Linked DNA regions of Daphnia pulex. The protein of the gene in region 2 interacts with the protein of the main gene of each other region in a pairwise test. Links are inferred from orthologs where the notes say so. Each region holds a gene or a part of one and is shown on either strand. Other genes may lie near its edges.

The links.
Region 1: the proteins of peroxisomal membrane protein PEX13-like (region 2) and peroxisomal membrane protein PEX14-like interact in a two-hybrid assay, tested with the Homo sapiens proteins (2 studies listed by BioGRID and IntAct, with this or other methods). The link is inferred for Daphnia pulex from reciprocal best matches to the Homo sapiens genes PEX13 and PEX14.

What each region holds. Positions count from the first base shown.
Region 1 is NC_060028.1:9,567,945-9,571,976, reverse strand, and holds peroxisomal membrane protein PEX14-like, read left to right. Parts: upstream 1-1,234; 5' UTR 1,235-1,939; coding exon 1,940-2,011; intron 2,012-2,168; coding exon 2,169-2,315; intron 2,316-2,382; coding exon 2,383-2,546; intron 2,547-2,612; coding exon 2,613-2,837; intron 2,838-2,925; coding exon 2,926-3,247; 3' UTR 3,248-3,456; downstream 3,457-4,032. UniProt on the Homo sapiens protein: Component of the PEX13-PEX14 docking complex, a translocon channel that specifically mediates the import of peroxisomal cargo proteins bound to PEX5 receptor.
Region 2 is NC_060017.1:2,686,685-2,690,373, reverse strand, and holds peroxisomal membrane protein PEX13-like, read left to right. Parts: upstream 1-1,243; 5' UTR 1,244-1,373; coding exon 1,374-1,468; intron 1,469-1,543; coding exon 1,544-1,840; intron 1,841-1,911; coding exon 1,912-2,159; intron 2,160-2,234; coding exon 2,235-2,441; intron 2,442-2,511; coding exon 2,512-2,753; 3' UTR 2,754-3,103; downstream 3,104-3,689. Other genes in the region: opsin, ultraviolet-sensitive-like, read right to left, coding at 3,197-3,320, 3,385-3,486, 3,548-3,689. UniProt on the Homo sapiens protein: Component of the PEX13-PEX14 docking complex, a translocon channel that specifically mediates the import of peroxisomal cargo proteins bound to PEX5 receptor.

The sequences.
Region 1 (4,032 bases), on a different chromosome or scaffold from region 2:
CAAAAGGACATTAATAAGCCGAGAACATTTTCAGATTTGAAAAAAAAATCTGTTGTCATAAAAAAGTCTACATCTCTCTATTAGCTGGTTTTCACAAAAGCTGTCTTACTTGAAAAGAAGTAGGTGTCGGATTCTTTCTTTATCAAAAATGTAATATACAACTAATATTCAAAACAAAGAACATATGAAGCATCCATAGTAGACTACAGATTGAGCAAAATGCTTGCCCACCGATTGATTCAAACTGGCAACTTTTAACAACTGCTGTCATGGAAGCAAGAAATAATGTCACTTATTTTCCGACATCAAGAACAAAATGCTACCTAATTCAGCTTAAGAGTAACTTTTTTACCTTTCCAGATTTCCTCTTTTCACCTTATTTGTCATTCAATATGGAAGAACCTTCTCTAGGACGCATTTTCATGACAAGACAGCGATAACGTGCACGCAACACATGTTCAGACAGTTCAAACTCCATAATGCTGCTTATAGAAAAATATTAACTCAATTACTACATATCAAGGAATTTCAATTCAGAAAGAGTCATAGGAATTAAGAGATAATCAACAATTTTACTTGTACATAGACGTCTCAGACGAAACGTGCAACACGCAGCAAGAGATATTTAAGAAAATGTACAGCAATATGACCAAGGATAAATCTAAGGGCACGAACCCCGTAAATTCACCACACAAAATATTTAAAGTTAATAACCTTAGATTAACGCAGAAATTACCTTTTTCGACGAAGAATTTCAGAAAAATGCACTCAGCAATGACTAGAGTCACTATTCTCGGACAGCGTCACAGTTTAAAAGAAAGAGGAATTAGAATGTCGTCTCAAAAGTCAAAACTTAAATAACGCCCCCATTCATCCCTCTACACACTAGGGCTGAATAGTTCAATCCCTAAACACATTGAATTATTTGGCCACCTAGTGACAGCCCTTAGCATCCACGGGACCACGGAGTCACGGACGACAAAAGTCAGACGGAAGACAAACCAAATGTTCGTCATCTCCGTGAAATAGATTTAGTTGAAATAAAAAATGCAATTATCGAAAAATTAACAAGTGAGCTTTGTTGCTGGAATTATTTTTACAGATATGTACAAAATAGCTTAGCTGAAACTGACTAATTTGATTTTACAGCTGAAAATGACCAAAGGCTTATGATAAAGTCATCTAGCGTTAGAAAAAAGAAACGTACAAACAATTCGTTCGTGACTCTCAAAGAGGGTCTGAATTAGAAATGACTCAGACACAGCTTTTAAAGCTAGTAGATTATTAGTAATTATATATTAAAATAAGTGAATTGTCGGGTACCTAGGCACCCGTGGTGAGTGACTGTCACAGCGGAGTGAAGTGGTCCAACTCGTCAGTAAACTCTTTACTGTAACTCAATATATACCACGTATTTAATACCATGATCACACCACACAACTATCATTCCTCCTTCATTGCTCACGTTACATTACCATATCTGGAAAGATGAATTATTGTATATGCAAATTGCTACAATTCTATTCAGTAGTCAATTTTCAATAAAGTGGATGGCTGAACTGAAAGACAATTTTTATAGTATCCTTCTCTTGCTTTTTAAATTAAGGCCGACTAGTCGAGATTTAAATAATAGCAAAATCACTCTCTAAAAAACCACTTTTTACTACTTACTAATTACCATTAATTCATAAATAATGACTACGCCGTCTACGCGAGTCCGTGAAATCTTCGCTTCAACTGTTCAACATGAGTGGCAGACGAATAATTTTCAGCATTAGCTCAACAGCATCCGCATGAATTTCCGTCCTTCACTTGTTTTTCCTGAGTGTGATAACACAACAAACCGAACCACCTGAAATTTCCAAGGTTGCGTGATAATACATGCCTGTTTGGCTGATTATTCAGCGTTTCTGAATTGAAACTTCGATTAATTTCCACAATGAGTGAAGCAGGTGAAGAAATCAACGGAGATTCCCTCAAAGAAAATACACAGCCTTTACGCGAAGACCTGGTAAGTGGTAACTGTAATTTGTAAACATTCTTTTGAATGCATTTCTAGTTTATTAAAAATGCTTTATCACATTAGTGGTACAATGCAGTGTAAATGATTAGAACATGGTTTTTCTTTAATGTGTAAACAACTGTGATTCTGTGTGTATGATTTACAGATTTCCACTGCTGTAAAGTTTTTGCAAAACCCCCGTGTTGCAACTCGTCCCAGGTCAGAAAAAGAATTGTTTTTGCAAAGAAAAGGATTAAACCATGCTGAAATTTCTGCAGCATTTGAGGCCTCTGGAATGAAAGAAACCAAATCAGTATGTCATTTTTATCCAGGCACATATATATTAAAAGGATGGATTCTACGATTTTTTTTTATTGAAGGAGGGAGGTGTAGGACATTACTCTTCAGTTAAAGTAGCCCAACTGCATGAATATAGTCGATCATTGGCACCAGTTGCAACATCAAAATGGAGTATAATCAGGGATATACTAAATGCATCAGTCCTTATAGCAGGAGCTGCATATAGCCTTCATTATTTGTACAGGTAAGAAACAACTATTTATCTAATTTCTTAGTTTGGAAACATTAAGGTTTTTTCTTTTACTTTTAGGCGATTCATAGAGCCTTTTTTATTTGGCCATAAAAAGAAGAAGTCATTGGCAGACACTGTTGAAGAAATGAACAAGAACCTCACTTGTTTAGTCGGCGACGTTTCTGCTGCTGTACAGAATCTATCAGACACAGTTGCTACGCTTCGTTCAAAACAGCACGAACAATCTGAATTGAAGGAGTTAAAAGCTGAAGTGACATCATTGAAAGCCATTTTGTTAGGAAGGTAAAGTGTCATATAAATTTATAATTTTGATTAGTAAGGAATATGTAAAATTATTGGAATTTCATTATTGGAATTTGAAATTCATCAGGCGACAGTTTCCTGCTCCTCCAGCAATCGTGACTGGGCCTCCCTCTATTCCCCCTTGGCAGTTAAGCTCAACTAGTGGAGCAAAACAAGATCTACGTGCTGAACAATCTAACAAGAACAATCAAAGCGATGGCATTTCTCTGTCTTCATCCCCAGAGATCATCTCCGTAGAGGACATGCAAACAAATTCTTCGTCGATGGTGAATGCTGGTTTGAGCTCGGTGTTACCAGCTCGTGGTCCGAGCGAGAGCAGTGAATCCAATAGTGCCGAAATAGTTGAAATGGGAGCTTCTGGCGCATCTGGGGAAGAAGATACAGATTAAATTGCCAATTTTAACCATATTATTAATATTATGCCTGTTGCTTTTGTGTTGGAAAGAAATGTGAAATTTAAATACTTTAGTTGATGGCCTTCAAAAGATGAGCATCGGTGATCGAGTTAAAATTTCAAGCTGTATATCAACTAGTCCATGTATTGACTTTTACTTATTTCGTCGGGTTCGGGGCATTAAGATAAAAAATGGGAAAAGAAGTCTTGTTTTTTTTTGTTTTCTTTTGTTTGGTAGGGTGAGCGATACAAGGGGTAGAAAGGGATGATGTATTCACACACTTCCGAAATGGATAAGATAATCAAAAGAAAGAGACAGAGGAAGAGTATTCACTGTACACAATTAAAGATTGTTGATTCCACCTGGTTAGCCATATTGCTTTCAACAATAAATCTGTCAACTGGAAGAGGAAAGTGTAAGAAGAGAATAGAAGGGTCAACCAATCATGAACAACACGTTTTGTAAGAAGAAAAAAAAATATTGTCGTTAGTCTCTCAGCACACTACACTCCACATCAAATCCATCCAATCGCACACGCGTCATATCAATTGTTGTGTCTGTTAAAGACAAGGCCGGTCGATTACGCAACGAGAAAACTGAGGCCATCTGAGGACCGTTTGTAGTGATACCTATCGGTCAAATAAGGGCTCCTCAGTAGTGTGCAGTTAAGAGTTGTTGATCGACTGGAAACTGATCAAAAGTGAATAAACGCAAGGGAATGAGACTTGGCTGCAGAGGTGATAAGGGAGGTGGGCAGAAGTGAGGGAGCTGGTATGTGC
Region 2 (3,689 bases):
GCCGATTTTTTCGCTTCACTCTTTACACCAGAATGTGTGGACACAGTCCTGGTAAATGTGTAATGTCTGCTGATGGGGATGTCTGGCTGAATATTTATTTTCCTCGTTTTTAAGGCTAATCGGAAAAGATGCAGATGGTCGGAATGAACAACCGCAGCCCAGATATTTAGGCACGGTATTCTACGTTGCGCCAGGGCTATAAGATCAAGAGGATGCATTAGATGAATTCACTTTCTTTCATAACGCCCACTACATTTCAATCTAATGATGGTCGTATTCACGGTGAATATTTATCGAGAAATTTTCACGTTGGAGAGTTTGTTTGTTATAGATTCAATCCTTCGAAAATTCTCGGATTTTGTTGTTCAAATATTCTTCTCGTTGCTCTCTGATTTTGTGGAGGATTCCGTTCATAACTTTTTAAAAAGAGAACCTGATTTGATGGGTTTGTTATGAAATGACTGCCCCAACTATTCAGTGAGATGTTTAGCAGTTTCTATTCAGAGCCGAGTTCTTTACATAACGCTGCCGTGCAGGCGTTCATGAAACCTATTGGCAGTCGACGTTGGCTGAATAGGGGGGTGGGCAATGGTGGTTGAATACACATCAGGAATCACGCACGCTTCACGACCGCACTCAGCAGAATTATTACACAACTACTACCAGAGAACCGGGTTGGTGAGAGCTGTGCTGCTGTGTGCAGGCACTTGGAGGCCATTCCCAACTCTCCTCCTTCCCCAATCCTATAGCCTTAGGCAGCTCCAATAATTGGCTGCTGCACGACAACGAATAGAAATTCAATCTCACCGGAGTGATTGCTTGCCAGCGTGAATCCGAGAACCTTTTTCTTCAATTCCTATTTATGATGTGCTCTCTACTTCAACTTTTTTTCACTCTCTCTCTCTCCCTTTCTTCATCCCTGACATGTTTAGATTATGTTGAGTGGTTTCCCAAGCATTTTAGCTTCATCCGAATCATTCCTTATAATCAAACTTCATTGTCGATTATGTTGAATATGTTGCAGTAAAAAAAAAGATATTAATAAATCTGATTAAATTTGAAATAGTCGTCAGACTTAATTTCAAAACAGTAAAAGTAAACAGACAAGGATATTACGCATCAACGCGTGTGTATTGTTACTTAGTTATATCCTTAACGTATTTAAAAGTTTGCGGCAGATTTTTGAATTGAAAGAAATTTTCACACTACTACCATCTACCGGTGTACAAACTCATCTCATTCGTTTCGGAATTTTTATAATGGTGTCGTCTTGTTGTTGACAAGTCGATTCCGTTTTCTGTATCAGAGTTCGCTGGATTTATCAGCAAATCGAGGCAAAGTCTTCGAGTTTTTAGTCTGAATCGTTCAACGCCATGGCAGCTCCATTAAAGCCGTGGGAAAGGGCTGGTGTAAATTCACGAGCTTTTGGTGGCGACATTGGCAACACCTTACCTACACCCATCGTCAGGTGCGTAATACATGTTGTGTTTAGTTCATTTGTTTGGTTTGTTACCTTCATCAATATCTGTTTTGATTATTTTAGTGGGGGTGGAGGAAGTGCTTTTACAGCTTCAGGGCCTGGCGTCCCACCACTGCCTCCTAGAGTACCCGGGGCAAACCCAACAAACAATGATTATGGTGCAGTTTCAAGCTATTCTCCATATCGAACAGGCATTTCAAGTTATTCAAGCCCTTACGGTTACAGTAGTGGATATGGGGGTTATTCGGGACTTTCTAGTGGCTATGGTACTAGTTATGGAGGCTATGGTAACAGCTATGGTGGATATGGAAGTTACAACTCTTATGGAGGGAGAAGTTATGGAGGGACAAGTGATAACAGGTAAAATTTTAAAAATTAAAATAATCATACTTACAACAATTCAACAATTTCATTATTTTTTCTCAAACAAGGTTTATTTCCATGGCAGAAGAGAGTTCTCAACCTGCATTTCAGAGCTTGGAATCAATTGTCCATGCATTTAGCTCCATTAGCATGATGCTGGATTCAACCTTGAATGCTGTTTACAGCTCTTTCAGAGCCGTATTGGGTATGGCTGATCAGTTTTCCCGAATGCGAACACATTTAAGCAAGGTGTTTTCTGCATTGGCCATATTTCGTACGGCAAAATGGGCTCTACACAAATTATTCTACATATTTGGTATGTCTGATTATGCAAATTCTCGACGCAGTAGTTGCAGCCATTGTTATCAACTAAACCCCCTTGTGTTTACAGGTTTGAGACGAGAAAATCCAATCAATACGGCATGGTCCACTGCCGTATCAAATTCGGATGCCTTATCTGCGGGTCTATTGACTGAAGCTGATATTAAAAAGTCCAGATCATCATGGCCCATCACCTTGTTCCTTGCCATAATCATTTCTGCCCCATATTTCATATGGAGGATCATATCTTCCCTAGACAGTGCTCCGGATGCACTAGGTGCGTTAACACACTAACTTTTGTTTCATAAACTCGCTTATTCAAATTATCTAATCTTTTAATGCTCTAGGAAAAAAGTGGGCTGATGGCCTAGGAGAATATTATACTGCTCAGGCAGATTATGATTTCAATGCCGGAAACGAACAAGAATTAAGTTTCAGAGCTGGCCAATCCCTACGCTTGGCTCCCCGTTCCCTTCAGCCTCGCATCAAAGGCTGGATGCTTGCCGGCACCGATTCACAACACACGGGCCTCGTACCTGCGAATTACATCAAAATTTTGGCCAAACACGAAAGTTCGACTCCCAAATAATTCATTTGACTGATATACAGTAGCTAAACCAAAGGAATAACCTTGTCCAAAAGTAAATTGTTAGCTGTTTGATGCCATTCAGTTATTTCGAGCTATATTTTTATCAGTCATGGAGTTGGGCCACTACTCATATTCAAAGCCTCAAAAACATTTAAGGCGTTTGAAATTATTGGCGGCCTTTGTGAAATTATTCAAATTTTTTTTACCCCAATTTTTAGAGGCTTGTGAATAGGAAACGCTCAAATGTTGACGAAATCGTACGATTAAGTGATGATGACTCCTTTTTGTTATGCTGGGTTTGTTTATTTGTAATTCAACAAATCAATATATATTGTGGGATATTAAAACTACTACTAATTGCTATGGATGATTTTTTCTTCGGAAGGTTATGTTCATGATCCTGTTTCGGTCCTTGGTCAAAATAATTAAAGGCTATGCAGATTTTACGAAGAAGTTTCCTTGGAGACACCAGACATTTCTGTCGTGGCCGAACCGACGCTCGAATCGTCGTTGGTAGGAACAGGCTCGTGAATGCAGAACCAGGGCATTTTCTTCTGCAGTTCCATGCTGAAAGGATGAAGAAAAATGTGGTAAGAATGACTGTCATTTCACTATGAATAAGATGTGTTACCGATAACGGGGATGGTTGATTGCATAGATCCATGGGTTGATGCAGGATACCAATTTACAACAACAGGCAGGCACCGTGCTCAGAAGTGGTGTCAGGACGGACCTGTGAAAAGATGACGATGGTGATTTATTTGAGAACAAATTTGTTGAAAGTATTATCTCACCTATTTCCAAAAGCGGCTGTGAGAGCCACAAAGGCATAAGGAGTCCAAGCGAAAACGAACAAGGTGGCGAGAGCAATTGCAACTTTAGCAATGCGAACCTCAGCTGATTTTTCATTTTGATCGCGGTTGCTGCGCAGGGAAG